4 linked regions of the Diceros bicornis minor genome follow. The protein of the gene in region 2 purifies or fractionates together with the protein of the main gene of each other region. This does not show direct contact. Links are inferred from orthologs where the notes say so. Each region holds a gene or a part of one and is shown on either strand. Other genes may lie near its edges. The genes, in order: VTI1B, STX6, VTI1A and VAMP8.

The links.
Region 1: the proteins of STX6 (region 2) and VTI1B purify together in Homo sapiens (affinity purification with mass spectrometry; 3 studies listed by BioGRID and IntAct, counting the BioPlex papers as one, with this or other methods). This does not show direct contact. The link is inferred for Diceros bicornis minor from reciprocal best matches to the Homo sapiens genes STX6 and VTI1B.
Region 3: the proteins of STX6 (region 2) and VTI1A purify together in Homo sapiens (affinity purification with mass spectrometry; 3 studies listed by BioGRID and IntAct, counting the BioPlex papers as one, with this or other methods). This does not show direct contact. The link is inferred for Diceros bicornis minor from reciprocal best matches to the Homo sapiens genes STX6 and VTI1A.
Region 4: the proteins of STX6 (region 2) and VAMP8 purify together in Homo sapiens (affinity purification with mass spectrometry; 3 studies listed by BioGRID and IntAct, counting the BioPlex papers as one, with this or other methods). This does not show direct contact. The link is inferred for Diceros bicornis minor from reciprocal best matches to the Homo sapiens genes STX6 and VAMP8.

What each region holds. Positions count from the first base shown.
Region 1 is NC_080763.1:16,317,965-16,324,863, forward strand, and holds the start of VTI1B (vesicle transport through interaction with t-SNAREs homolog 1B), read right to left. Parts: upstream 3,021-6,899; 5' UTR 2,905-3,020; coding exon 2,790-2,904; intron 1-2,789. Other genes in the region: RDH11 (retinol dehydrogenase 11), read right to left, coding at 6,270-6,372. UniProt on the Homo sapiens protein: V-SNARE that mediates vesicle transport pathways through interactions with t-SNAREs on the target membrane. These interactions are proposed to mediate aspects of the specificity of vesicle trafficking and to promote fusion of the lipid bilayers.
Region 2 is NC_080743.1:86,161,562-86,169,395, forward strand, and holds the start of STX6 (syntaxin-6), read left to right. Parts: upstream 1-4,789; 5' UTR 4,790-5,014; coding exon 5,015-5,049; intron 5,050-7,834. UniProt on the Homo sapiens protein: SNARE promoting movement of transport vesicles to target membranes. Targets endosomes to the trans-Golgi network, and may therefore function in retrograde trafficking.
Region 3 is NC_080745.1:76,031,920-76,039,963, reverse strand, and holds the start of VTI1A (vesicle transport through interaction with t-SNAREs homolog 1A), read right to left. Parts: upstream 3,057-8,044; 5' UTR 2,683-3,056; coding exon 2,589-2,682; intron 1-2,588. Other genes in the region: palmitoyltransferase ZDHHC6, read left to right, coding at 4,770-5,036, 6,888-6,979. UniProt on the Homo sapiens protein: V-SNARE that mediates vesicle transport pathways through interactions with t-SNAREs on the target membrane. These interactions are proposed to mediate aspects of the specificity of vesicle trafficking and to promote fusion of the lipid bilayers.
Region 4 is NC_080751.1:4,416,346-4,423,372, forward strand, and holds the start of VAMP8 (vesicle-associated membrane protein 8), read right to left. Parts: upstream 3,027-7,027; 5' UTR 2,927-3,026; coding exon 2,924-2,926; intron 1,561-2,923; coding exon 1,402-1,560; intron 1-1,401. UniProt on the Homo sapiens protein: SNAREs, soluble N-ethylmaleimide-sensitive factor-attachment protein receptors, are essential proteins for fusion of cellular membranes.

The sequences.
Region 1 (6,899 bases), on a different chromosome or scaffold from region 2:
ACTTGCTGGTAAATATTACACTATACTGCCTCTCAATTCACATGATATCGTCTTCGTAAATGTTGTTTTTAATGGCAGAAGAAGAAATATCTTGTCAGGCTAGAACTGACATACATTATGCTCTCAATTCTATAAGGACCCTTGAAGTTCTCATCCACAACCCAAACAAGCCTGCTTCTACTCTTATATTTCTTATGTTCGTCAATTGACCAAGGGAGAAAATACAGACACCCTTGAATCTTTCTCCCTCCTTCTCCATGTCCAATCAGTCTGGTTAATTTCTGCCTCAGACTCACCTCTTGGATTTAGGATTCTCTAGATTCCCATGTTATCTAGATGACTCCCTCAAAGGCTCCTAACATGGTCCCCTGTATCCAGATTCTTGTGCTTCTCTTGCATCCTCTACTCAGCCACCAACATTCTCCTTCTAAAATAAACTCTGACCATATTAGTCAGCTTCTTAAAATCCTTTACTAATTCTCCATATCAAGTCCAAATGTCTCAATGTTACACTTAGGTACCTTCACAATCTGGCTGTGTCTTACTTTCCTCATCTACTACTCTCCCACACATAGCCTAAGCTCCAGTCACAGCTGTGAGCATTCAATTTCTATTCCTTTGTTGCCTCGTTCCATTTCCCCTCTGTCTGGCCAACTCCCATCCAATGCCTCACACTCAGTTCAAGGTTCTCCTTTCTGTGAAGCTTCCCTTTCTTCCCCTTTCTTTTTGCTCCCCCACGCCCAAGTTAACCTTTTTTTAATGGTCTCAAAATTATTTTAGGGCTCATCACACACTTTCTTGTAAATTTGCTCCCATTGAAGGCAAGAACTCTTGGAACTCCTCAGGGCCCAGAACAGTGAGTGACATGTAACAATTCTCAATAAATATTTATTGAAAAATGACTGAATTAAATTAAAGCACATAACCTAAATGCAAGGGCTGTATTATGTACATTATTCAGTGCCTAATAATTCACGATGGAAATTAAATCTCTGGAAAGCTTATGGAGTAGTCTCAGAACTAGGAAAAAAAAAGGATTCAGAGATGAGGCCCAGTGTGTTTACTTAATAAAATTCAATTTATTCAACAAATATTTATTGAGCAGTATGAATAGGGAAATTGAAAGTTGCTGAAATTCTTATTATAACCTGGGAATATGTGTGTTTTACATTTACTTACCCATTAAACAACTAAGTCTGTTACCAGCAACTTGTGTTAGAGTATTTTGTACTTGGGTAGGAATTCACACCTTTTTGATCATCCTCTTTGTACGAATGAGAAGGTTAAGTAGATGATGAAGGTGAATATAACTAATTCAGTTTTCTATTTTTCAAAATGGAATGCCCTTTTGCATTATTTAGCCTTATAGAAATGGACAGTGCAAAATTTAATTCAGCACCAGGCTGAAAAAACTGTCTCTTTTTCCACCTTGTAAATCAGATCTCATCACTCTCCTGCTCAATATCCTTTAATTGCATCCCATTGCATTTAGAAAAAGATATAAATCTTTCACCTTGGTCTACAAGGCCCCACACGATCTGGCCCTGCGAACCTCTCTCCAGCCTCATCTACTACCACTACCTGCTCAGTCCACTCCAAACACAAGGGCCTTCTTGTTCTTCCTAGGACATACCAAGCTCATTTCTGCGTAAGGACTTTTGCAGTGCTATTCTGTCCTCCTGACACTCACTTCTCCCAGAGTTTTGCATGGTTTACTCCCCTCATTCAAGTCCCTGCTCAAATGCCGCCACCTCAAAGAGGCCTTTCACAACCACCCTATTTAAAATTAGAGCTCCCCACTCCCAACTCTCTATTCCTTTGCCCTGCTTTATTTTCTTGTATTGCCCTCAACACTGCCTCTTAATATTTATATATTATCATTGACTCATTAGAACGGGGATTTGTAAATCTTTTCACTGTAATCTGAAATATTATCAGCATCCAGAACAGTGTCTGGCACACAGCAGCCTCTCCCAGTAAATATGTTAAACAAACGTATGAATTTCATTCTCACTGGAATCATTTAATTCATCTGATCTTGGGTAACTCACAGAACAAACACTCAAGCTCTGATCCTTAAGTAAAAACAATAAAACAAAATCTTATCTGCCTTGACATCAAGATCTGTTTTTCCGAGGCAAATAACTGTGGCAGGTCTTCCTGTGGATTTCACTGCAAAACTCTAGCTTCTCCAGGCAAAGCTTGCAGCAACCTGTATTTTGAAATCAATTTTGAAAAGGGGCAGGAAATAGTCTAAACAGAAAATTCATAAGAGGACCATAGCTAGACGCCACAATCCTGATTTTTAAGACCAACCCCCAAAATTGATATTTACCAACCCCCAAAGTTATGACTCCTCTGGGTTCTTAACCCTTTTGGTGCTACGGATCCTTTGCCAGTCTGGTGAAAACTACGGACCTCTCTTGAGAATAATGCTTTTAAGTGCATAAGACAAAATACAGAGAGCTAAAAAAAAAAACACAATTCTACTGAAACAGAGAACCGCAGATGTAAGGTTTCCTATGCTCTTCTTGCCACAGTGCAAATGAGACGAGAAAATTTTGAAAGCTATAGGAGGATTAAGAGGGAGAGTCCCAAGGAGATGACACTCCGGCGTCCACACCTGAGCACCCTAAGTGGCTGCAGGGAGATCCTGGGCGCCAGGACCCAGCCAGCCCTAGGGGGCGTGTCTGAGGACGAAGAGCAGAGAAAAGGGCCGGGGTCTGGGACTCTTGCTACAAGGGCGCGCGGAGCCGAGTTCCCCACGGCTGGGCCCGCCCCCGCCTCACCTGTCCCGGCAGTGCCCAGGAGCCGCACCGGCACCCCTCGTAGGTCTTCATGGAGGCCGCGGAAGATCTCGTGCAGTTTCTCGAAATGCTCCGAGGAGGTGGCGGAGGTGGCCATGGCGCAGGCCGCGTTCTAGCAGCGGCCGCCGAGATTCTGGGCACGGAGCCCGCTGCTACCTCGCGGTCAGCCGCCCAGCGCCGCAGGCATCACGGCGACCGCCGCCACGGCCGCCCTGAACGAGGAGCTTCCGGGGCCGCGGCGGGGTCCTCCCGCGTCGGAACGCCCACTCCCTTCATGCCGTCACTGTGGGAGCGCCGGGCGCGAAAGCCTGACGGAAAGTCCGGCATGCTGCGCTGCCCAGGCGAGTCCTGAGGGGGCAGCGGCGCGCCGGCGGGAGCGACAGCCCCGGGGCCCCGGAAATACCCAGTCCGGGGTTGGGGAGAGCGCCGCAGCGGGAAGGACTGTGGGGACCAGCGGGACGGGCAGCGCGGCCGCCTCTCTTCAGGGCCCCGCCTTCTGGCGAGGGGGAGGGAACGCTGCAGTGCATGCCGGGGGCTGTAGTTCGTAGCGGAAGACGCTCCGACTCGGAGGTCACTGGTTGCCCGGGGCGGTGGCTCTGGCCGCGCAGCGCCCGCCGGGGATGACGCTGACGCACAGCGGTTTGGTATCAGTGTGCTTCTGGACGTTATCTTCCTCGTCGGCGCACTGTTTGGCCACCCTGACTTCCTCGGTTCACGTCCTGACTAATGTTAGCTTTCAGCCCTGGAAAGATAGCCGGGCCGGGTTCCCGCCTGCCCTCGAGCGGTGAAGCACTTTTACTGGGGAGGTCAAGTGACCAGGGTCACATGCTTTCAGAAGTGGTCGCCGGGCAGTGTGACCCCCAAAATACGCCCTCAGCCTCTAGCGGCCGGGCTCGCCTGGTGCATTTGTTCACGCAGCAGGTGTTTGTTAATGTTCAGCGTAGTCATTGTGCAGGGGTCTGGGCATGTGTTAGTGAAGAATAATATATAATATAATGTGGTGAGCAAGGCGGACCCCTTCGTCAGGTCTCTTTCCGCAAGTTGTAGTGTTAACAGTTACAAAGTCCTTACCTGCACTCCACGTTTTCATGGTTCAAGTGGCAGGAAATTCCTCATGCTTTGCCTATGGAACCGGTTCAGAAATGTTTGCTTGGCAACGGAATACTTAAAACTGCCCACACATATTAAAAGACACATGACTGCTCAGGGGGAAATGATTTTGTGATTTATATCTCCTGCATCCTTATTTTTATTAGACTGAGTTCATTGACTATTGATTCAACAAACTTTTGTTGAGCTCCTAATATTTATTGAGCATAGAGAGACAGCAGAGTCTGAGGTTGTTAGTGGCAGTGTATTGTGATATGTCCCATAGCATTGTGTTATAGAAGGGGCAGGTACAAAACGGAGAGAGAATAAATAGCCTGGGATGGAAAAAGTGACCTTACAAGATAAGTAGAAAATGGGTGAATGAGTAATCAAATCACACAACCAAAATTAATGGTATTTGAATTGAGACTATACTCTGGCTGGACTCTGGGACAAATTATCCTCAGAATGAGAAATGACTGCGTAACTGTAATAATGAAAAATGTTTTCTTCTTTTGACTATAATTAATTGTTTTCTTCTGTTGACTCTAATTAAGCTTATGTTTAATTCTTACAGTTTTTATTCTGGTAAATAAAAACATGATAATCAAAAAATGTTTATTTATCATTGACAGTTCTATATAAATCAGGTAAAATATTAATTCAGTTATTCTACTGCACTATTATCAAATTTTTCCATAAAATAACCATTTCTAAATATATAATTTAATGGTCAAAACAAGTTCAACAAAAGATTATTAATTTACAAATACACAAAGACTGTGATCCTATAACTCTTTTCCCCACCAAAGTGAACATATAATTGTCAGTCCAACAAAATCACAAACTTGTATTAGAAAACCATACTCCCAACAAGTGATGGGCACATTACCAATTCCTCAGACATCCTTTGACAGCATTACTTTTGATAAAAGTTCTCCAAATATGATGTAGACTTTTAGAAAATAGACATTTTAATCTTATTAAGATAATGAAATGCCCTGAAAGATTAGTAAATTGACTGTAATTACCAATATCAGTCCTTAAGATAATTTTACTGACTAAAGAATTGGGTTTTTTTGTTTTATTTTTGTTTGTTTGGGGTTATTCTCTGCCACATTGGCTGACTGGTGCGTGTTAAGATAGTACCTTGTCAGTCTTACTAACTCAAGTGCTCATCCTCAGTTCTTCTATAGCTGGATATTACCATCTGTAGCTGGGGTTTCTCTTTTTAATCCTTAACTAAGCCCTTCAATGCATGCATTATCTTCCAGGATTCTTCTCTTTCTTGAACTTCTTCCCTGCTACCCATGTGCTTCTTGGTGGGTTAGTTACCAGCATGCACAGAGTCTGCTTCCCTTTGCAGCTCTATCCATTTGTATCCAAGTCTAGATGACACTGGTTTGCTCCATCGCTATCATGTACCTGCACTAGGGTCCAGTTTAATACTGTTCCCTGGTGGCTGTTTTGAATTTTGTGAAAATACTCCCAACTGCATAAATACAGAAAGATATACGCAGTGACAATCACCAGATAGCCTTTCCTTTCTTCTGGTTTTCTAAGAGAAGCTAAAGCATGAAGGAGGAGGCCTCCACGGGTCTGGGGTCAGTAACTGAAGTAGGTGGCCCAGCTTCCCATACTGCTCCTTTCATTACCCCCTTGCTGGCCTGAGGAACAGCAGGAAAATGACAATTTAAATAGATTTTTATTTCTGCCTTCCCCCAAAACCCCACAAACTTCTTAGAAAAGGTAGCTCTTCTGTGGTCTAGGCATGGGAAAGTGTCTTAACAGCACTGGTTCTAGGTGGACAGAGATAAAACCATGTCACAATCCAGATTCAGTTAAGAGTTTCCTGAAAGAATCTAGATGTTGGCATCATGATGGTTTTCTTAAGAGGTGAGGGACAAGCCCTGCTCTTGGGCCAAGCCACTGTGACTCCTGGAGTTCAGCTGAGGCTGCAGTGTGGCTCTCTTGAAGTGAAGGTTGGTTGGTTGGGAAGAACTTCATTGTGAATAGGGAGGGTAGAAACTAGTTCAATTTGCCATAAAGCAGCCCTGCCATAGCTTAAGTTCTCCTAGGTAGTAGATTTCAGAAGGAGAATATGAGCTTTCAGGTCATATGAGGGTGTACTTACCCTATGATATCTTTAGTAACTCTGGTAGTAACAGTAGCAAAGTAAACCTGGACAAATGCAAGGTGTTTAGAAGAATCTGGCAGTGTACCCTGGACTTTCATCAGACATCAAGCAGGAAAGGCTGGAAGGTTTTCTCTCTTTGTGCTCAAGGTTTTGGCCATCCTGAAGGAGAAACATTCTGGCAGGGAGTACTGAGTAGTCTGCTGCACGCTGCTCTTGCGTCCAACTGCCACCACCTGTCAATCCCTAGTGATGCCCAGCAGGTCACAGCTGACGTCCCATAGCCGCCTTGCTATTGTCTCATTACGAGCCTTGGCAGAGACCCATGCCACATGGCACTCACTGGAAGGGAAAGAGAGAGGCTTAAAGCACAGGGTTGAGAAGTCTGCTCTCTGCCTGGGATAAGGAATAAGACAGAAAAAGGACCCAGGGATGACATGACCTTTAGGCGCTTCACAGGGCCAGTGTTTGTCCTCTCTCTTCATTCTCCAATCTTTACTCCAGAGAAAATGTAATTACCATTTTAGATCTCACTAGACCACCTCTGATCACAATGCTTTGTTTGATATATAATGCATATCATTTAGTCTTTATATTCTCCTTTGTATGTATATATTTAACTATAATATCAGTGCCAGCCTGACACCTGTGCTTGACCATCTTGTTCAAATAGGTCTCTGGGGTCCATTCTAGAGGACCTTGTATAGTGTCATGTGGCTGAGATCTTGCTATTTACATTGGTCACAGATGCTTGGAGTGGTAAAAAAAAAAAAAAAAAGCTACTTATTTCTGGTCTACCTGAAGTTATAACTATTTTAAAACTTGAATAACAAGTAAACCCAGCTTCATAAACAACAAAAGAAGGAAAA
Region 2 (7,834 bases):
TTGTTTCAAAAAGGATTTAAGGTGAACTCAACAACAAAAAAACAAACAAGCCAATTAAAAAATGAGCATAGAACTTGAGCAGACATTTCTCCAAAGGAGATATACAAATGGCCAATAAACCCATGAAACAATGCTCAATATCACTAATGGTTAGGAAAATGCAAATCAAAACCACAATGAGATACCACTTCCCATCCATTGGGATGACTACTACAGAAAATACACACACATATACACACACACACACACACAGAGAAAATAATAAGTGTTGGCAAAGATGTGGAGAAATTGAAACCCTTGTGCACTGTTAGTAGGAATGTAAAATAGTGCGGCCAGTATGGAAAACTGTCTGATAGTTCCTCAAAAAACTAAAAATAGAATTACCATATAATCTAGCAATTCCACTTCTGGGTATATACCCAAAACAATTAAAAGCAGGGTCTCAAAGAGATATTTGTACACCCACGTTCAGAGCAGCATTATTTACAATTGCCAAAAGGTGCAAGCAACCCCAGTGTCAATCAACGGACGAATGGATAAACAAAATGTGGCAGATACATAAATGGAATATTAGTCAGCCTTAAAAGGAAGGAAATTCTGACACATGCTACAGTATGAATGAACCTTGAGGACATTATGCTAAGTGAAATAAGCCAGTTACAAAAAGACAAATACTGTATGATTCCTCTTAGATGAGGTATCTAGAGTAGTCAAATTCCTAGAGACAAAGTAGAATGGTGGTTGCCAGGGGGTGGGAAGAGCGGAGAATAGGGAGGTGTTTAATGGGTACAGAATTTCAGTTTTGCAAATGAAAGAGTTCTAGAGATTGGTTGAGCAACAATGTGAACGTACTTAACACTACTGAACCATATAGTTAAAAATGGTTAAGATGGTATATTTTATGTTATGTGTATTTTACCACAATTAAAAAATTTTAATTATTTTTAAAAAAGGATTTAGGGTGGCTTACAGTATCTCGTACATTGCAAAATGCTTTCACATTTATCACTCCAGTTGATCCTTAACACAACCTAGTGAGGGAGCAGGTTGGGCTTATCATTCCCAATGGAAAGTAGAAGAGCTCCTCTTGCAGGGCCTAATGGAACTCCGACAGCTTTTAGGGGGAGGGGGTGGCTCAAGTCTATCCTGGCATCCTTAGCAATAGGATGTGAGTTGATCCTTTCTGATCCTTATCTTCATGAGATCCATGGCCTGGTGGCCGGTGCTCTATTCTTTGAATCGGCATCTCCTATTTCAGCAAAAGATGCCTCGCAAGACCCAGCAAGCTCCCTCCATCGCTCACTCTCCTTATCTGGAGACTCGCTCAGGGCCCAGATCTTCTCCTGGATGCCCTCTCAGGACTCTACAGAAAACTCAGAGTTAGAGTGTTACCCTCCTCCAGCAAAATGAACAGAATCTAAGCGTCACAGTTTGATGCATTCTGACAAATGCATACATCTGTGAAACACACACTCCTCTCAAGATACAGAACATTCCTATCACCCCAGCAAGTTTCCCTTCCCAGGCAATACTCCCCACCCCAAGGCAACTGCTGTTTTGATTTTGCAACTCTATGAGAATTTTTTTTTTTTTTTGGTGAGGAAGATCAGCCCTGAGCTAACATCTATTGCCAATCCTCCTTTTTTTTCCCCAAAGCCCCAGTAGATTGTTGTATGTCATAGCTGCACATCCTTCTAGTTGCTGTATGTGGGACGCGGCCTCAGCATGGTTGGAGAAGTGGTGCGGCAGTGCGCGCTGGGGATCCAAACCCGGGCCACCAGTAGCGGAGCACGCACACTTAACCACTAAGCCATGGGTCCGGCCCTATGAGAATTTTTAATTCTCATTTTTGAGGGAATAAGGTGGATAGGATTAGAAGGCTTTTTACTGAGTATTCTTCCTGAGTTATTGTTTATGCCAGCACCCAGAGCCAGTTAAACTAAAAAAAAAAGAAAAGAAATAGCTTCCTTTGTTTCTCCTTGCATTTTAGCTATACTTCCCTTTTCTGGGGCAATGGAGCCAAGGTCTAGTTTGGTTTGAAAGAGGGTGAAGGAGGGTGACATATTACAGAAAGGGACACTCCCCTCTGCACACACATTTCATATCTCAACCCTCCACTATCTCCATTGTTGGTACTTTTTCCAAATCTCTAATTATGGGAATTCTCCAAGCCTCTGTCCTCCATCCTCTATGTTTCTGCTTATGAAACACTGACCTCTCATTTGTGGTTTAATTAATAAATTCATGGAATAGATAATAAGAGGCTATGCTAGGCATTGGGGTGATAATGACATTAATATAGTCTCCCCTCCCTCTAGGAGTTTACAGTTTAGTGGGGAAAACCAATATGCTAGCAGCTGATTTATATCCCCCTAAATCTAATCCTCCTCCTGTGCTTTCTTTCTTGGTTATTGGAACTAAAAAGCACCTGATTTCAACTCCAGAACCCCGCAGGCCTTCCTCCCTCTTCTTTTACCACCCCCACCCCACCCCCACACTGAACCAATCAGTCACCAAGTCCACTGATTAGGTTTCTAAAGTATTAAATGTATCCCTCCTCTCCACTCTAGTGGCTGCAAGCCTGGCTCAGGACACCCTCGTTCCTCCTCTGGACCACAACCACGCAGCTGACCTCCCAGCCACCGTGGCAGCCATCTCAAATGCCACTCTGATCCTGTCAATGCCCTCAGCTGCCATGGTCTACAGAGCACATCCACAGTTCTCAAATCATAATCAAGGGCTCTTGGTAATCTGACCCTGCCCATCTCCCCCAGCCTTAGCTCCTCCTGCCACTCTCCGGTTCCTGCTACTCCAGCAACACCCTCTGCCATGGCCCCCCACAGGCTGCCATGCTGTCTCCTGCCTGCCTCTAGTCACTGTTTAGAACCCCGCCTCCACACACAAATAAACTGGTATCTTGTCTCTGTGTTTCTCTGGCAACCCGTGCCCTTCTCTCATTGTGTGTAACTGCCTGTCTCTCCCACCAGGCCGACAGTTCCTTGAAGGCAAGGATCAAGCCTGTTCATCTCTGTGCCTCCAGTGCTTAGCACATAGTAAGAGTACCACACATGAGCCAGGCACTGTTCTAAGCACCTTTCACACATCAATTCATTTAACCCTTACGACACTCTATGCAGGAGGTGTTATTGTGGCATCCATGTCACAGTTGAGGATAGTGAGAGATCAAGCAGCTTGCCCAAGACAACAGTCAGGAAGTAGCAGAACTGGGATTTGAATACAGGCAATCTGGCTCCAAGTATGGCTCTTAACTACTATTCTCATCTGCCCCTCAACTTAGTGTGTTTGTTGAATGAATGAATGGGGATCCCTTTCACCTCCCCATCTCAATATGTCCATAACCAAATTAAACAGTTCTCTCCCAATAGCCTCCTTACCCACATCCACCCTCCACTGCTCCTCCAGGGTCTCAGAGAAGCCTGGAGTCTCTGACTTGCACCTCTCTCCTCCCCAATACCATTCAATCTCTTGTCAGGTCTAGGTGTTTTGTTTTTCCTTTGAAATATCTATTAGATTCGCTTCTTCCTCTCCATTTACAATTGCTGTCGGTCCTAGTCTGGTCTTCCTCCCTTCAGGCCAGACGACCACTGCAGCTTCCTCACTGGTTTCCCTGACTTCACTACCCAACTCCATTGGGGTCTTGGGGTTTAAGGCATTTTTATTTAACCTTCACAACAACTCACAAGCTAAATATTATTATTTACATGTTATAGATAAGGAACTGAATAACAGAACCCAGGTTCAAACAGGGTTTGCTCGGCTCCAAGGACTCTTCCATCTCCAAAGAGACTGGTGACCTTGGGCAAGTCACTTATACTCCAAGAGTCTCAGATCCCTCATTCATAAAATGGGGATAATAGTAATTACCTCATCCTGGGGGCAACTGAGATAACACTTAGCACAGTGCTTCAAACACAATAAGTGCTCAATGGTTATCAGCAATTAAAGTCCACAAACCCCACAGCACATCTAGCATAGGAGTTGGCTAATTGCTCTGACCAAAATATTTTCTGGAACAGCTCTTGAATCATAGCTGAGAGGAAGTTGCCATACCTGGCCCCTTCTCTGTCCCTCAAAGGTGCTCTCTCCTGTATGAAAAAATTACCTTAGTGGTCACTTGCAGAATACACACGAAAAGAAAACACGTCCCCATCTGGAGGAAAGCGCACAGAATCTGTGGCTTTGCCCTGTCCAGGCTGTGTGACCACAGGAAATCTTGAAACCTCTCTGAACCTTTCTCATCGACAGAATGGGAGTAGTAATACCTTCCTCCCAAGAATATTGAGATAACGCACAACTTTTAGCGCATTGCCAGACTCGTGGTAAGACCTACATAAAGAAGTTGTGCAACATTATCATAGTCAGATAAGGTATACGAGCACGCTTTATTGTAAGACGAGGACGAGATGGATTTATAAATCACATGTTATCAAAATCAAGTACTGAATATAGAAGAAAGGTAAAAGAATTGTGCAATCACGTACTGAGGCGTAGCATGAAAACACAGCAGCCCTCCTACGAGGCAACAAGCACTTCCTCGCACCAAATGCTGAGGGGCTGGTGGAGAAAAGAGCAGCCCTCCTCCACCGCCCCCAAAGCCCCGCCCCCAGGGTCGCCTGACGCGGTGGTCGGGCCCGTCGACGAGGGGCGGGGCCGACCCTGTCACGTGAGCGCGGGTGCGGAAGTGGTGCAGCGGGCCGCGTTCGTGGTTGGCCGCGGCCGAGGGACTCGGGGGCGGGGTCAGGGCGTCCGGACGCGCCGGGAAGAGCCGGGGGAGGAGGCAGCGCAGGAGTCAGGAATTCTGTCTGTGGTGCCCACCGAGCGCTGGACCAGCGACGGTCCTGTGCACCTGGCCTGCGCGCGCGCGCTGCTCCAGGTCCCCCAGGCCCAGGCGCCGGCGGCTGCGGGAGGCCAGTGGGGTGTGCGGAGGGAGGCCAGGAGGGCGCGGGCGCCCTGTGCGCGAAGCAGGCGTGAGGCGGCCGGGGGCCGGGACGCCATGTCGATGGAGGACCCCTTCTTTGTGGTGAAAGGGTGAGTGTCGCCGAGGACTCCGCTGGAGGAGGCCAGCCCGCACCTCCCGGCTCTGCTCTCTGTAGGGGGAGGAGAGACAAGTTGAGGCTGGGGAGGGGACGGCTTAGCCTTGAGGGCCATGACCAAGCGTCGAGACATCCCTCCCCGTCCAACCTGGACTGTGAAACCCGTGCCCCCAACCAAGCCCCTGGGGAGGGTGTCCCCCTTGGCCTGTGCGCTGCGGTACAACTTTGGGGGTCGAGGGGTTCGGCAGCTCTGCAGATGGGGAGGGAGACACAGGTCCCAGCCCCAACTGGGGCGGTAGTGGAGCACGGGGCCCCGCTTCGAAGGAGAGAAAACAGCATCTGGGCAGGAAAAGGGAAATGGCCCTCCTGAGCTTTGTAGTTGGCGGTGGACGGGGGTGAGCTCCCATTGTCCATTGAGTTTGGAGCGCTCGCCCGCAGGCTGGAGAGACCACAACAAGCCCGGAGGCGTCTGAGCACGTTTGCGGGCGGGGAGGGGGGGCGACGTTGATCTGGGAGTCTGGGGAGCAGGGCTCCGGAAGACAGCTCAGTTCAGTGGGGGAGTTCTTACTGAGTAATGTGAGGGGAGGAAAGCCGTCGCTCATACTCGGTGATGATGTTGGAAGGAAAACAAAATGCAATCAGCCAAACCAAACTTTCCTCAGTTTCTATTAGCCCCGGGATTTTCCCACAGTGCCGAAGGAAATGAGTGCTTTCTTTTTAACTCCTGATTTCATCCAGGCCATTTGACAGGTTTCCCCCATTTCTTCTTCTTCTGCCTCACTGACTAGAACTGCTTTAACTCATTTTTCCTTCTGAGCTGTCCTGACTCCGTCTTTGATTCCTCGGTTGTTTGGAGATAGAAACTTTAAGTGCACTTTGTTATATGAGCTTTGTAGGCATTAAACAAATGCAAGAAAGATCGTTCTGATGTTGTAACTTGTCAACTTTATGTTTTAAATGTCAAACATAAAAAAAATCTGTGAACTACCAAGTTCCTAGAAGATCAGTACTAATTATCATAAAGTGTCTGTTTGCTTTCACATAGTTGCTACTAGCTTCCTATTTCTGCAGTGGTAAAAGCTGACCGGTTGCTTGGGTATATGTGTGTTCTTTTAAGAGTTCTTCTCGGAAAATTTAAGTGGTACTTTAGGTGAAATGCTTTAGTATCCATGATACCAAAAAACATGTTTATGTACTATTTCCCAGAAAAGTTTTTTCTTCACCTTTAATTTAGATGGGAAAATGCTGAGCTGTAGATTTATTAGTAATATGTGACTCTCTATCTGGAAAATGGATTATATTAAAAGGCTTGATTTAGGGCTTAATTTTTAAATGTTAAAGCTGTGTTTTAAGCATTTTTCCCTTGAATGAAAGTTCTTAAAGCTTAGGTTGCACAAGTTATCTCTGGCAGTCGAGACAAGAAATAATCAGCACATTTTTATTTGTTTTATTTTTAATGGAATTTGTGAAAACACTCAATTGCTCTGCCATCTTGACATTTCCTTCCTGATAGTATCCAATACAGTCTACGGATGCTTGCTTGTTGATTAGATATCACTGCTTTATTGGAACATCGGCCTGGAGTCCTGGTTGACTTTTACATCACCTTAGCTGGTGTCCTTAAGTTGTCTGACGGAAAAGAGACTCTCTCAGTACCTTCTGCTGCAGAAAAGTAAAATCAGCCACGTGAGTGTCTCCAGACTGTGTGACAGCATATTTGGGGAGCCATGTACCTCCATGTATTAAAAGTACTGAAAATGAGTCACACAATGTGGAAAAATTAAAGACACCTAAATTATGGCCCTTAGCCTAGGAGTTTATAGTCTAATCTGAGAAACAACTCTTTCCAGCATTAAAAATGATAGGTGGTAAAAGATTAAGCGCTGAAGTGAATGCTACAGAAGATAAGTGCCCAGAAGTTCAGAGAAAGGCAACTCATTAGGAATTGTTATGACTGAGAAAGCTTTTGGAGGTAGTAATAGATCTTGAATGAGGTTTTGAGATGAGTGGAATTGAGATAATTGGGGCCTGTCTTATCTGGACTCTTATCAAAGAGCCTCTTAATTGTTCTTCCTGCTTCCAGTCTCTTGCCTTTTTCATCTGCCCTTGGTTCTGTTGGATCAGTGCTGTCCAATAGAAATAAAATGTGAGCCATATATGCCATTTTACATTTCCTAGTGGCCACATTAAAAAAAGAAACAGGTGAATAAATTTTAATGTCTTTAACCTAATAGAGTCAAAATATTATTTCAACATGTAATTAATATAAAGATAATTAATGAGGTTTTTTTTGTATCAAGTCTTCAAAATCTGGTGTGTATTTTATGCTTACAGCACATCTCAATTTGGATGCTAAATTTTCATCAAATACTTGATCTGTATTTAGAGTAGATTAAACTTACAGTTGAAAAAGTAGATTCACATACCCAAATTATTCCAAACATACTTAAAAGTTTTCCAATAACTGAATTGCCTATCAGTTTTTAAGTTTAAAATTAAAAATTTAGGTCCTCAGTCACACTAACCACGTTTCAAGCGTTCAGTAGTTCAAGCACGTGGCTTCCATATTGGGCAGCACAGGTGTAGCTTTTCTAGAACCCAAGCAGGGGTTCCCTACCTAACATCGTTTAGTGGTTGCCTGTTGCCTACAGAATCAAGCGCACACACTTCATGACCTGCCACCCTCCTCTATCCTGCACTCACTCTGCCCACCCTCAGCTCAGGGCCTCAGCAATGCCAGACTCAGTACAGTGATTGTGACCGTGGTACTGAATGCCCTG
Region 3 (8,044 bases), on a different chromosome or scaffold from region 2:
GTGTCATAAGAGTATTGCCTAAGAAGGGACTGATCCATCTCATTAGTCCAATTACCAAAATTAATTAAGATTCAAACACTTTAGTCTAAGAGCAGAGTCTTTTTATTGTTTAAACATATCACAGAGTAATCAAATTTCTTTTTTAAAATAAAGTTTTAAAATATTCAATCTTTTCTACTCTCTTTGGAAGTAACAATCTAATACATTGTACACGCACAGCAGAGATTGAAGTGAATTGCAATCAATCCTACCCCCCCTACTTCAATTTAAATAAGTTAATAAGTTGTGCAGTGAACTGCTATGACTTAAAAGTTCGCTCCAATTTTTAACCTTCTTAACTCAATAAAATTACAGTTACCTCCACTGGGTCAACCACTAATGATGTCCAGAGAGAGAGATTATAATTACTTTTAATCAGACTGTTTTTGCCATGGTTGTACACATTAATTCGTTAGTCCACATAACATACAACTGAAATTCATAACTACATGGATATATTTTTCACCTTTTTATATTTATCAATTAGAAACAGATTAAAAGGGAACAAGCACAAGTAATTATTAAGAGAGAAACCACTGCATGTTTAAGAATTACTATGTCAAGACAGTAAGCATTTTTCCAGTGCCAGCTATACAGTCTCCTTTCAACTCTAATGTAGCTGCTATGTTTGGGCCTTACATTATATGTACTTAAGAAGAGTCAAGACTTTATTTTTAAGGTACTTAATTCAAAGGTTTCCTTCTACGTGGTAAGAATGGTTACATTAAAATATAAAGGCAAGGAAAAAGCAATTGTAACAAAATTTGTTTTCTTGGAAATAGTTTTTACAACTTTGCACCCAGGGATGACTCTGTTACTTTATAAAACACCCTCAGACTACAAAAGCTATTAGCCCAAACAAAAAATGTTTCACTGTTAACACTATTACAATTAAAATTGAGCAAAAATCCAACTGAAACCATTAAGTCCTGATATTCTGAGGCTCTGGGACTCAAGTCAAAGGAAGTAGTCTCCAACAACAATGACAACAAAAATCAAGATGATCTTGGGCAGTGGAGAGAAGCAGAACTGAAGAGAAGAGGCGAGGTGATGTATCATGAAGTGATGAGGCCATCAGCCACTTTCTCCACAAAAATCTCTGAGGCAGCAGAGCTCGGTGGTATATGCTACCTTCGTCCTCTCCTCTTGTTCCCTCACTTGGACTCATAAACCTCCTTAAGACAAGATCCACCTCCTCCAGAACTAACTGGGACTTCAGGAGATGAGTGGGGTGTAAGTTCAGAGATCCTGGCTTCAAGCAAATATCCCTATTAATAGAAAATACGTGGGGGGGGGAAAGAAAAACAAAGAAATAAAGGAAGACAATTATTTATAAACACATAAGTTTTGAGGGAAGTAGGGAAAGGCAAAGAGGAATGACAACCTGGTTCAGGAGAAATTATTGCTGGCATCAAGGACTGACCAACAAGGTGGGAAAGAAGTTGCCCACCAGTTCACAGATCAATGAGCATCCTCTTTTCTACATGTTACACTCTAGAGGCAGGTAAGGCCAAGTCTAGCAGTCCCATGATGTTCCAATTTCCCTAACAAAACTAAGCCAAAAAGTAACAATCTTATCTGCAACTAACTACTTAAATTAAATCTGTATTTAGAGAAAGATAAATCCTCAAACGATGTCTTACAAACAAAAATCACAAAATATCATATTTATATTCATCTGTTTATTTACTTAAACATTTTTCTGGGCTCTAAGTAAATGCCAAGAGTTAAGTCAATCCTACCTTCACATAGTTGGCAGTCTAGCATGGGACGTAAGCCGTGCTAAAATACAAAAATAAAAGCACTTCTAGATGGCAGTTGTGGAATTTTAAAAGTGAGAAAAACTGTACCAAGTTTTACATAAAATTGGCCTACAGATTGCCAAGAAGGATGAGAAATAATAAATGGGGTTGAGGGTATGAAAAATACTAATGATAACAGCAGCTAACACCAAGAAAGGGTTTTCCATGTGTTAAATCATTTAATCTTCACAACAACCCTATGAGAGACGTACAATTCTCCCCATTTTACCAAGAAGGAAAGTTGAAAGAGGTTAAGAAACTTGCCTAAGCGCCATAACTCCTAAGTGGCAGAGCTGGGATTTGAATCCAGACACCGTGGCTCTTAACCCTATTTTGCCGCATAAAATAATATTATTACTAATAAAACAACATTGCTGTATACTGCAGACTCATGGTCTAGGTACGTTCATTCATTCTCTTTGAATACTCACATCTGTATATTTTACAAACGAAAACTGAGACTTAGAGAAACGTTCCCAAGGTTATACAGGTAACAAGGCGCTGGAGTCCGGATTCGAGCCCAGATGGCTCAGATTCCGAAGACTCTTTTCACTCACTGCACCCCAAAGGACTCTCCCTTTGGCCTCAACTAAGTAAGCTCCATCCCTCCGGAAGGGCTCCAGCACCGCCCCCGGGCTCCACTCCCGCCTCGCGCCTCAGAGACACTTGTTCAGGCGGCGTTCCACCGCCCCCGAGCCTCCGCTCTCTCCGGGCCACCCCCACACCCCCGGCAGGGCCAGGGCTCACCAGGAGGGAGTCGGGGGACCCTCGCAATCTTGCCGGTGATCTCGGCAGTTAGCACCGCGAAGTCCTGCTCGTAGCCTTCGAAGTCAGACGACATGGTGGCTCCGGAGTGATCGGCCCGGGCCGGAGCCTAGGTCGTGGCAGGGGCCAGGCGGGACAGGAGAACACCGTGGAGGGACCCCGGGGGGCACCCTCGAGAGCAGAACGCAGAACCGGCGACAGCTCCCGGCCCGGCCGCTTCCTGGTTGTTCGTCACAATCTCGGTCCTCTGGAAATCGGGCTGCCGTGCGCTTTTTAATTTCCGCTCAGGCTTCACGATTAAGAAATTCGTTAAGAAAAAGCACTTCGATTAGGGCCCCAAAAGGCCTCCGAAAATATGCGTGTTCTCAGGGATCACTGGAAACAATTTTTTGCTCCTTTAAGTTCTGGAAAGCGGCTCCGGCTCCTCAAGATACAAGTCACAAGAGCTTGCTTCCCGCGGGACGTTTGATGTGGAGAACTTCCCGGAAGTGGCTGTCACGGAGATTGCGCACCGGGCCTGCGCGGGAGAGCAGCGGCGAGGGCGCTGGCGGAGACCGACCGGTCGTGGGCGGCCCGCGCTCCAGCCTCTCGCAACCAGGATTTGCTCTCTGCTTGCGCTGGACTGGGGTACCCATGACGGAGTTATCCGAGGAAGAGAAAACCTGTTCTGGGTGAGCCCAGGCCGCCGGAAATGCGGTGGCAGAGGCGCGGGCACCAATGACCAGTCTGAGGTGGGAGTCGAGGCGGGGGATGTGACCATGATTTTGGCGGTCTTCGGCCGACCCGAGTGAGGCCAGACTCTCCAGATGTTGAGACCAACACCCACATGTTCTCCTGAGTGAGGATCCGAGCGCTCTGCTCCACGGCACGAGCGGGAAACTGAGGCACAAGGCAGTGGGCATCTGTTGCTAGGACGTTTTTATTATCCTCTACCTCAGACCTTGTTCTCTGACTCACCCCAGTCTAGTTAGGAAGACCCTTCTACAGGTTTTGCCGGCGTTCGCTCCGAGAGGCACTTCCTCTTCTTTTTTTCTCCAATGTTCTCATTCGTGGTCGTTCTCGTATACGCCTGCAGTCGTGATTTCACACACACCTCTCTCCCTCCCTCCTCTCCTCGCACTGTCTTTGCTTTCACTCTCCCGCTTCTGTACCCTTGGCCCAAATAGACCCTTATGATGGTGTTTTGGAGGCAAGCGCAGGCAAATGGTATAGACCATGTCTGGATCGTACTTGACTTAATTCGAGATAGGTAAGAGGCAGTTTAGAACTCTGTAAAGGGAGCTCGATGACTTGGTTTCTATTCTGAGGTCTGCTGTTGCTAGTGACCTTGGTCTAATCACTTAGCTCCTCCCGGCCAATTTCTTTTCCATGAAGAAGGAAGCTGGATTAGATGAACTCTAAGGCCTCCTTCCCAGCTCTAAAACTTTGTCTCCTCAAACCATTCATTAAACGTTGGGTAGTCACAGTCCTCTGACAAGTTGGGAACAAAGGAATAAAAAGTATATTTTAGAATCATGTATCCAGTTTACATGCCATTCAGACTTGAACCCTATTTTGGATAAGATGAAAACGTTCTTTTTTTCTTATGAGGAAGATTAGCCCTGAGCTAATATCTGTTGCCAAGCCTCTTCTTTTTGCTGAGGAAGACTGGCCCTGGGCTAACATCTGTGCCCATCTTCCTCTACTTTATATGGGACCCCGCCACAGCATGGCTTGACCATCCGTGGGTCAGTGCTTGCCTGGGATCCGAACCCGGCTGCAGCAGGGGAGCACTCGCACATAACCGCTGGGCCACTGGGCCAGCCTGAAAAACATTCTTTTTGACATTTAAGATACTCATCCCGTAGTAGTGCATTTGTAAGATGCTTTAGTGTAGGTGATTATTGGAGTTGATAAATATAGTATATAATAAAAGGTTTTACTAAACTTTCTTATTTTGTTTTCTTTAGATTGGGTTTCAAACCAAGATACTGGATTCTCCTCTTTAAGATAAAGAGCTCTGAGTGTGTAACAGTACAAATGGCATAATCTGCATTGCCGTTTCACAACTTGAAGGCATGACAGTTAAAGAACACACATGGACTTGTGGCACATGGAAATGTGTGCACAGAAAAAGGAAATCTATAATTCTTTAAAAATAGGAAGGCGTTCTTCCTCACCAAAATGGGTACATTCTGCTCAGTTGTGAAGTTTGAAAATCTCCAAGAATTAAAGAGACTGTGTCACTGGGGACCCATCATAGCCCTTAGTGTTATAGCAATATGTTCTACGATGGCCATGATTGACTCTGTGTTGTGGTATTGGCCCTTACATACAACTGGAGGAAGCGTGAATTTCATCATGTTGATAAATTGGACTGTCATGATTCTTTATAATTACTTCAATGCCATGTTTGTTGGCCCTGGCTTTGTCCCTCTGGGGTGGAAACCGGTAAGAAAAAGATTCCTTAATGTGATGAACTCTAATGATAATCATATATTTAGTTTTTGCCTTATCTGCTAACCAATAATATCAAACACAGCCTGCTCTTTGCCTTGGTAGAGACTAAGCATATTATTCTAATCACATTATTTAAAGCTCAAAGAATTTATTTCATACCAGTTTGAAGATATTGATCTAAATTAGGGTTTCCCCAAGTAATTTCATTGAATACTTCTGCATTTAAAAAAAAAAAAAGAGGGAGCCAGCCTGGTGGCGCAAGCAGTTAAGTGTGCGCGCTCTACTGCGGTGGCCCAGGGTTCGCCGGTTCGAATCCTGGGTGCGCACCAACACACCGCTTTTTAAGCCATGCTGTGGCGGCATCCCATATAAAGTAGAGGAAGATAGGCATGGATGTTAGCCCAGGGCCAGTCTTCCTTAGCAAAAAAAAAAAAAAAAGAGGAGGATTGGCATTGGATGTTAGCTCAGGGCCGGTCCTCCTCACAAAAAAAAAAAAAACAAAAGGAGGGAGGGTGGTGAGTCCATGTTCTTAAGTTTCTAGGAAACACTGCATATCATACACTTTTCATAATATCACAGTGTGGTTTAACTCCAGGATCTTTTTTCATGTAATACATTAACATCCCTCAAAACTGAGAAAAACACTTTAGAAACTGCTGGTTTAAGTCATAAAGTTTTTAAATCATTGTGGTGAAATCATAATATTGGGAAGTATACTATCACTCGATTGATAGTATCAATCAATTTATGGCTTTTTAAAAATTGTTAGAAAGTTTATGCATATGAATTTTCATATTCTTTGCTGAGGGATATCACCTGGTAGTTTGTCAGAAATGCAGAATCTTGGGCTCCACTCCAGAACTACTGAATCAGAATCTGTGTTTAAAAAAATCACCAGGTGATTGTTAGGTACATTACAGTTGGAGGAACACTAGTGTGCTATTTGAAGTGGGTACAGAGGTGGGTAAAATGCAGTTCATGTTCTGAAGAACCTTATAAGTGAGAAGACAAACCAAGGCACTTGTGCAGATAACTATCGAGTAGAATGTGATGGATGCTGTTGAATTTAGAAGAACTGATCGTTTTCAGCTGGAGACCTGAGGGAGGAGCGGAAATTATCCACAGGAGATGGGGAAGAGGGCATTTCAGGTTGAGAGAATGGTGGTAGCATGGATTCAGAAACAATGGACAGCCTAGTTTGGCTGGAAAAGAGATTATATAGTAAAGATAAGGCTGAAACAAAGGCGGATTATGGAAGGCCTCAAATACATGAGAAATTAGACCATAGGGAGTTATTAGAGGTTTTCAAGCACAGCTCTGACGCAATCAGAGTTGTGTTATAGGAATGTTATTCTGACAATAGACGCTTTGGATTAGAGAGGCTACAGTAAAGGAAACTAGTTAGGAAGTAGTTAAAGTGGTCCAAGGGAGGGGCCTGATTTCCAAAAGAGTATCAACTCTGGTGTTTGAGTCCCACTCTAAAATACCTGCCAAGTTGTCAGCTACCTTTTTTTCTGAACTCCTCCCATTCTACTGAGATTTTGGATCTTAGTAGAACCAAGTATGTATACTCAGTGACACTGGATTTGGATGGAGCATGGAGAAGAGAAATTAAAAATGACTTCTGGGTAATTGGAAAAGTGATGCTGCTGTTACCAGAAATTCATTATTTAAAAATATTTTAGCTCAAATAAAACAGCTGCAGATACAAGTTAAGGTTCCATCCTCCCCATCCCCATAAAAGAAAATCAAACCATAGGAAAGTATTTATTCCTAAGGTTTGACTTATTATTACTTAGGGTCAGATATCTGATGTATTTTTGTTTATATTTTGCTGCCAAGGAAAATTCTCAAGATAGCATGTACCTCCAGTATTGTAAAGTCTGCCAAGCGTACAAGGCACCACGGTCACATCACTGCAGGAAGTGTAACAGGTACTGTCTGTCTTTGCTATTCATTGGCGACTGATCCACTTGATTACTGGTCTTTTGATGTTGTTCCTTCTACCACATCAATCCTAGTTTTATTCTCTGCAAGGTGGCTAGTTTATAAAAAATATTGTCAGAATACTTGTGTCCATAATCTCCATTTTACTCTTCAATTATCAATTCTGATAATAAATAAATCTCACTCTTTTTTGTTATAAGTGAAAAGATTCTTCTAGAAAAATACAGATTTACTTTGCTTCTTGCCCTGCCAAGAACAAGTTAAAAAGTTATACCTTCAAGTTGTTTCTATAGATCAGAATTAATTGTGCTTGTCAACTGTCATCTTGACTAGCTTTAGAGTTGTTCTGAGTCTAAATTATAAAACAGACCTGCTTTTTCTGTTATTTAGTTGACTGACACCTACACTTTATACAAATCTAATAAATGAATCCAGGTGCCTATTATCACAAGTGTTTAATGTAAAAAACTTAATGGGAAGAAAACTGAATCACTATAAAAAATGTGAAATAAACTAGAACCTTTTTTTTTTTTTGGTGAGGAAGATTGGCCCTGAGGTAACATCTGTTGCCATTCCTCCTCTTTTTGCTGAGGAAGATTGACCCTGAGCCAACATCTCTGCCCATCTTCCTCTATTTTATATGTGGGATGCCTGCCACAGCATGGCTTTATAAGCAGTGGGTAGGTCCACACACGGGATCCAAACATGCGAACCCCAGGCCGCCGAAGCAGAGTGCACAAACTTAACCACTACGCCACCGGTTCGGCTCCAAGCTAGAACCTTTTTTAATGAACAGCTATATCCACTGATTAATAAGAAATTTATGTTGAAAATGTTGAGGTTTAGGGGAACCCTTAAGACTTTGCTTATTGTACCACATCTTCTATTCTGGAGTTAGCTTGCTTAGCTCACAGATTCCACATCTAAAGGATGAGAACAGGAAGGAAGTTACAAGCGTCTGCTAGGCCCCATCAACCCCAGTGGAGATTTATAAGTGATTTTGTTGAGTCTCTGTTGTACTCCACTTCAGTCACTGCATTTCAGAGCTAGAG
Region 4 (7,027 bases), on a different chromosome or scaffold from region 2:
GAAACTGCTCTTCCTCTCCCAACTGGAGTGGCAGAAATTAAGTTTCCCTGGGCCATGCTTCCCAGGTTAGGTTGTGGGAAGAAATACTAAGTCCCAGGGAGAAAAAGGAGCTCTATCCAAGATTACACAGGACCCAGAAAGCCATAGCTAGACTCTTGCCGTGAACCTGGAACCTTAGGCTCGAGCTTTTGTTGAACTTTAGAGTTACTCCCTTCCTGAGCCGCTGGCTGGAGAGAGAGAAAACTGAGATCTAGCAAGATGTGTGGGGCATATTCTAGCCTTCACCTAGCAGTGGGCCCCGGATCAAAGGCTTTCACCTAGCCTTTGTGATTTCCAGCGCTTTCTCCAGCCGGCTCAGCAAGACTCTAACACCTTTCCACCCCTAGCCTACCTAACAACTTCTGGAGCAAGCCAAAGGCCCTAGGATGATTTTCCAGAGCCAATACATATTTTTTTTTGGTGAGGAAGAGTGGCCCTAGGCTAACATCTGTTGCCAATCTTCCTCTTTTTGCTTGAGGAAGATTGTCACAGAGTTAACACCTGTGCCAATCTGCCTCTATTTTGGTTTTTATTTATTTATTTATTCGTGAGGAAGATCAGCCCTGAGCTAACATCCATGCCAATCCTCCTCTTTTTGCTGAGGAAGACCAGCTCTGGGCTAACATCTATTGCCAATCCTCCTCCTTTTTTTCCCTTTTTCTCCCCAAAGCCCCAGTAGATAGTGGTATGTCATAGCTGCACATCCTTCTAGTTGCTGTATGTGGGACGCGGCCTCAGCATGGCCGGAGAAGTGGTGCATCGGTGTGCGCCCGGGATCCAAACCCAGACAGCCAGTAGCGGAGCACACGCGCTTAACCACTGAGCCATGGGGCCGGCCCCCTCTGCCTCTATTTTGTATGTGGGATGCCACCACAGCATGGCGTGATGAGCAGTGTGTAGGTCCGCACCCAGGATCTGAACCTGTGAACCCCAGGCTGCTGAAGCAGAGTGCACAAACTTAACTACTATGCCACCGGGCCAGCCCCACCAAAGCCAATATTTTTGCCCTGGGAGGTCAGGTCCAAATGGTTGTCAAGGGCAGCCTTCAAAGGGAAAATCGGTTTCACAGGAGAGAAGCCCAAGAATGCACGGGCTGACTGAGCCATCTGTCTCAGAAAATACCTCCAGGGGTCAGGCCCTACCCCCCAACCACAGTCATTGTACACATTCCCTGGACCCCAGTGCCAATCAGTGGAGTAGAGTAGAATCAGAAGTGGGGACTCAGCTCACTTCAATTCCCAAAACAGGTGAAAAGGCAGACTTCCCTCCTGCTCATTTTGCCCCCAACACCACCAATCCCTAAACCCCCAACGACCCTCCCGCACTCTCTTTTTCTAGCCCCCAGTGAGCTCCCCATCTCACTGTGGCTTCCAGATCTTCTGTCTTGTGGCGGAGATGGTCCAAGTTTTCTCCTCGGGCCAGGATCCGCTCCACATTCTGGGTCATAATATTCTTGACTCCCTCCACCTCACTCCGCAGGTTCCGCACATGATCATTTCCATCGCCTCCACTGCCTTCCTCCTGGGCAGCAACACAGGGGTTAATTGGGCCAAGTGGTGGAGGAACTGATAGCCTCAGAGGCTAGAGGAGGGGAAGACTTAACATGGACTTTAGTGTTCTGTAAAGCTTGAACTGTTTACAAAGAGAATGTTTTCACGTCTCACTCATGTAATCAAAAATAAATGCATTTTTAAGCCCCAGAGGATGAGAGCTGTTGCTAGACAGACTAGCTCAAACTTCTTTTTGGGTTCTCAGGGTCCCTGACAAGGAAAAGAAGCACACCACTGAGACCCTCTCCACTGCTTCTTTGCTCCTCGGAGAGGGTCAGAGCAGACAGCTGAGCTGGCATCTCACGATGCAAAACCCCGCCACCATTTACCAATTCCCAGATCCCACAGGTTCCTTATTAAAAATGTCTGTGGGGCCAGCAGAATTCCCTCACCTAGCCCAACTCTCCCTCTTTCCAAGAAAGCAGCTGGAGAGCAGCTCTGCCTCGGGCCTCCTGGGCAGCCTAATTGCTGTGACCCAGGCCAACAGCGACTAGGCTCCAAGTCCCTCACAAGGCCCCAAGAGAGAGAGCCGTTGGGCCACAAACTTCTGCTTTCCCCACCACCTAGCACCATGCGCAGGCACCACGCCACTGCTGCTGAAGCAGATATTAAATAAAAGCAGCAGCCTGGGCACTGGGGGAAATACAGGGCAAGTCTTCCCTGGCTGAGGCCTCATCCTCAGGCTTCATGATAAGGTTTTTAAAGAAGGAGGCAAAACGTTATCAAGCTCCTCCCTCTCTGACCCACAGGACCTCCAGAAACAGGCCAGGGGTGTGGGCCAAATTAGATTATCGCAAAGAACCAATTTCTGGTTCTTTTACAAACCCTTAGCTCTCTTCCTCATGTTTATGGGGGGGAGCCAATTCCTTGGACTTGTGGAGAGACAAATTTTGGGAGTTTCTGTACAGGGATAAAGTGAAAGGCAGAGGGGAAGAGCTCCCGCCGCTGGGCTGGAATCTGCACTGGGAACAGCAGAGGCGCTGCCCAGGAGTGTCACAACAGCAGGCCGGTCGGCCGGCAGGCTGGAGGAGAAGATGAAGGAAGGGCCGCTTGCTCAGCAACTCTCTGCCTGGAATTCGGATCCCCCACGCCCACCCACCGAAGCACTGCTCCAGGCCAGCACTGAGGTCAGGGGAGGGAGTATAGAAGGAGGAGGAACACCCGCCCGTGCAGCTCAGAGCTATTTGCAGCCAAGCTGTCTAAGAAGAGAGGCCACAGTCAGTGCTGGCCCAACCCTCTGACATTGCCACCAACTCTCCTTTCCCGATCCCCAGCCCCCAGCCCCCTCTGGCTCATCTTTAAATCAGCCCCTTTCTAGTTCCCAGCTCACTCACCATGTCTCCGAGCAGCTGGGGCCCGTCAGCGGCAGAACTTGCCTAGTCTGTTTCCTCCTGGGGCGGCCCTTGGTTCACTTCCTGCTTGCTCCAACTTTCAGCCCGCCCCCGTCCACCTCTCATCCTGAGCCTGCTCCAGCCACACCTCACACAGGTTCCCCTAGGTAGGCGGACACCCTCCACTGCCCTTCTAGTCTCCTCCCAAACCAGGGCTTAGGCTTAAAGCAACAGGGCTCCCCGGCAACAAAGGTCTTTTAACTCGTCAGGAACAAGAGAAATCAAGCAGCCCTCCTAGGTTTCCTGAGGCTGGGCCTCCTGATATAGAAAGGGCAGCCATCTCCTTTTTTTATGTCCTGAATATCTGAGTCCAATTCTTAGAGACGGAAATCAATCATAAGCACCCTGCCAGGCCTAGTTCACATGGAAACAGAATGCAGATATGAACATTTTTTGCTGGACAACCCTTGTTCCCATGTCCATGGGTGGACAGAAAGCACTAAAACCCCCAAATGGAATGCTGTGATCCTGGGCTCTGGCATCAGATAGCTCTGGGTTACTAGCTGCGTGACCCCAGTGAATCTCTTCACCTCTCTGGGGTTTTGCAGGTGCTGATGCTGACCTCAGAGGGTGGTGGTGAGCAGTAAAAGGGTAGCACATGTAATGTGCCTAGCACAGTGCCTGGACCGAAGGACTGTCCACTGTGCAAATTGGGAAATAATGGCTCCTTTCCTTCCAGAATTCAACAATCCTGCATTTCCCTTCAGGGGCCACCATGGGAGTTGGTGAGCCCAGTCAGAAATGGTCAGAGGACTGCCCTATAAACCAGAGAGGAGGCCCAGGGCAAAGGATTTTTCCACCAACCGGGCTCCAGGCCAGAGAAAATCCACTCTTCCTGGATGGTGTTTATCAAGACAGAAGAACAGTAACAGAGACGTGCAGAAGGGAACAAACATTCCTGTCCCATCCCAGTTCCAAGGGGGAGATGTCAGCTTCCCTCACAAATTAGACATTTTTTAAAAGGTCTAATAAAATTAGATGATTATATTTTGCAGACCTGAATTTTGGTGGACAGTACCAGCCTGCTTTCACAGAGAATGTGGCTGCCCCAATCCTCACCATCCTTAGAAAGGCTACAACATGGCCAAGTGGAGGTAGGTCTGAATCCTTGATCTATCCTTGCACCGTCCAATACAGCAGCCACTGACCACATGTGGCTGTTGAGCACTTGAAATGTGGCTAGTCTGAATTGAGATGTGACATAAGAGTAAAATACACAACCGGATTTCAAAGATTTATTATGTAAAAAAGAATGTAAATATCCCATTCATAATTTTACATGACTTGTTGAAATAATGTTTTGGATATATTGGGTTAAATTTAAAAAGTTGATAAAATTAATTTCACCTGTTTCTTTTCTCTTTTAATTTGGGTAGTAGAAAAATTTAAATTACAAATGTGACTCAAATTATATTTCTTTTCTTTTTTTTTTTTTTTTTTGGTGAGGAAGACTGGCCCTGAGCTAACATCCACGCCTATTTTGCTCTTTTCGTATGTGAGACGCCGCCACAGCACAGCTTGATGAGTGGTGCGTCGGTCTGCACCCAGGACTCGAACCTGTGAACCCTGGGCCACTGAAGCGGAGCATGCCAACTTAACCACTATGCCACCTCGCCAGCCCCTCAAATTATATTTCTATACTTCTTTAGACACGCTGATCTGCCTTAATATTTCTGTGACCTTGGATGGACTTACGTAACACTCTAAGCCTCAGTTACCTCCCTGTCTGTGCCTGACACTTAAAACTCCCTCAGTAAATGGTGGCTGTTGTGATTACTATTATTAAGAATTCCAGATGCTAAGTAAGGTGGTGGATAGGGGAACATGAGAGGTACCAAGAACAAAGGACCAGAGTAGGAGGACTGAGGGGAACAGGAAGAAATGGAAGAGGAACCCCAGGGTGGGAATCTGGTTGAGGAGTTACTATGGTCTGACATGCAACTGCCAGCCTTGGACATACATTGGTGTCCCTGAGGGAGCTGACCCTTGGCCTAGACCCAGCAACCATCAGGGAGATTCCCAAGTGCCCACAGTTGGGCCTGCAACTTCTTCACCTTCATCTTCACCATGCAGAATCCCTGCAGGCTTGGCCTCACCTGCGCAAACATTATAATGTTACCCTTTGTCAGAAGACCATCTTGCTAACACCCTCACAAGGTAAGACATTCAGTGAGACACCGAACAACATTTCTGCTATGAGCAGAAACAGTCCTGTGGGCAGAGTACAAGAAGAGAAATGAAAGTCATTGATTCCTCTACAGTCAATGAAGGCTCTATCTCAGGAGAAATGGAGTGTCAGTAGTTGTAACGAAAAGATGCTAGGTGGTAGGAGTTGCAGCCAAAGAAGCCACCATAGCGTGATGGAGAGTGTTCTCAGTCCCTGTGTGATCAGAAGATCTGCTTATCAGCTCTATTACTCCCTGGCTGTGTGGTCTTGGGCAAGCCACTTCCCTCTGGGAGCTTCAGTTTCCCCATCTGCAAAATGGGAATAAGAATGAAAGAGGAGCAGGGGCTGGCCCGGTGGCATAGCGGTTAAGTGCACATGCTCTGCTGCGGCAGCCCGGGGTTCGGATCCCGGGCGCGCACCGACGCACTGCTTGTCTAAGCCATGCTGTGGCAGTGTCCTATGTAAAGTGGAGGAAGATGGGCACAGATATTAGCTCAGGGTCAGTCTTCCTCAGCAAAAAAGAGGAGGATTGGCAGATGTTAGCTCAGGGCTGATCTTCCTCACAAAAAAAAAAAAAAAAAAAGAATGAAAGGGGCTGGTGGCTTAGTGGTTAAGGTTGTGCACTCCACTTTGGCGGCCTGGGGTTTGCAGGTTCGAATCTCAGACATGGACCGATGCACCACTCATCAGGCCACGCTGTGGTGGCGTCCCACATACAAAATAGAGGAAGACGGGCACAGATGTTAGCTCAGAGCCGATCTTCCTCACCAAAAAAAAAAAGAATGAAAGATGCTTTGCAAGGTTATTATTAGGATTAAATGATATAGGTGTATATTTCTATATTTCTGCTAAATCACTTTACAGATGAAAAAGGAGACTAATAGAGAAAATGGAATGAGAAAATAAGGGAAGAAGAAAATTAACAGCCTGCAAAGCAACCAGGCAAACTTTGGGGTACAGTGGTATATATCCCAGTCTTCTTATTTATGGCCCAAGTGGGCAGTTTACTCCTGTACCTCTCAGGGAAAAGGCTATAGAACAAGGAAAAGGCACAGTCAGGAGGCTCAACTGGAATTGCTTCCTGAAGAATCATAACGCTCTCACCACTGCCAAGGCCTCTTTTATCTCCAAATCCCTCTTTGTAGACTGTCACACAACTGGCCACCCCATCTGTGACACAGTCACCCCACATCTCTCCCAATGCGTTCTCTTCCTTTCTGACTGTGTTCTTAGAACACAAAGGTTCTGCCCTTGGCCATCTTCTCTGCTGACTCCATACTCTCTCCTAGAGCAACTGTTCTCTACCGGGTTGATTTTGCCCTCAAGGGAACATTTGACAACGTCTGGAGACATTTTTGGTTGTCACAACTAGCGGAGTGTACTACTGGCATCTAGTGGGTAGATGCCAAGGATGCTAAACTTCCTACAATGCAAAGGACAGCCCTCTCCACAACAGAGAATTGTATAGACCAAAATTTCAATAGTGCCGAGGTTGAGACACTCTGTCTCCATAGGGAAGTGCAACGCCTTTATGTTTGTAACACCTTTTTACTTTATGTGTTGTAACACCTTTTTACGGACAATCCCCCAATCTGTTACCTCCAACCCTGACCTCTCTTTCAATTGCCATTGCTTCCTTTCCGATGCCCTGCACAGTCCATAGACACCTCCAACAGTCATCTTACACACGCAATGGGACATCACTAAGTCTTGATTCCATCTTCGTCATGTCACTCATATTCACCCCCTCCTTTCTACACCAGCTCCTGCTTCCTAGGTAATGCCAGCAGGATCTCTTCTCTGGACAATTCCATCCACCTCCAAACTGACCTTTCTGTTCCCATCCATTCCTCCTGGGGCTGCTTATTATCTTCCCAAAA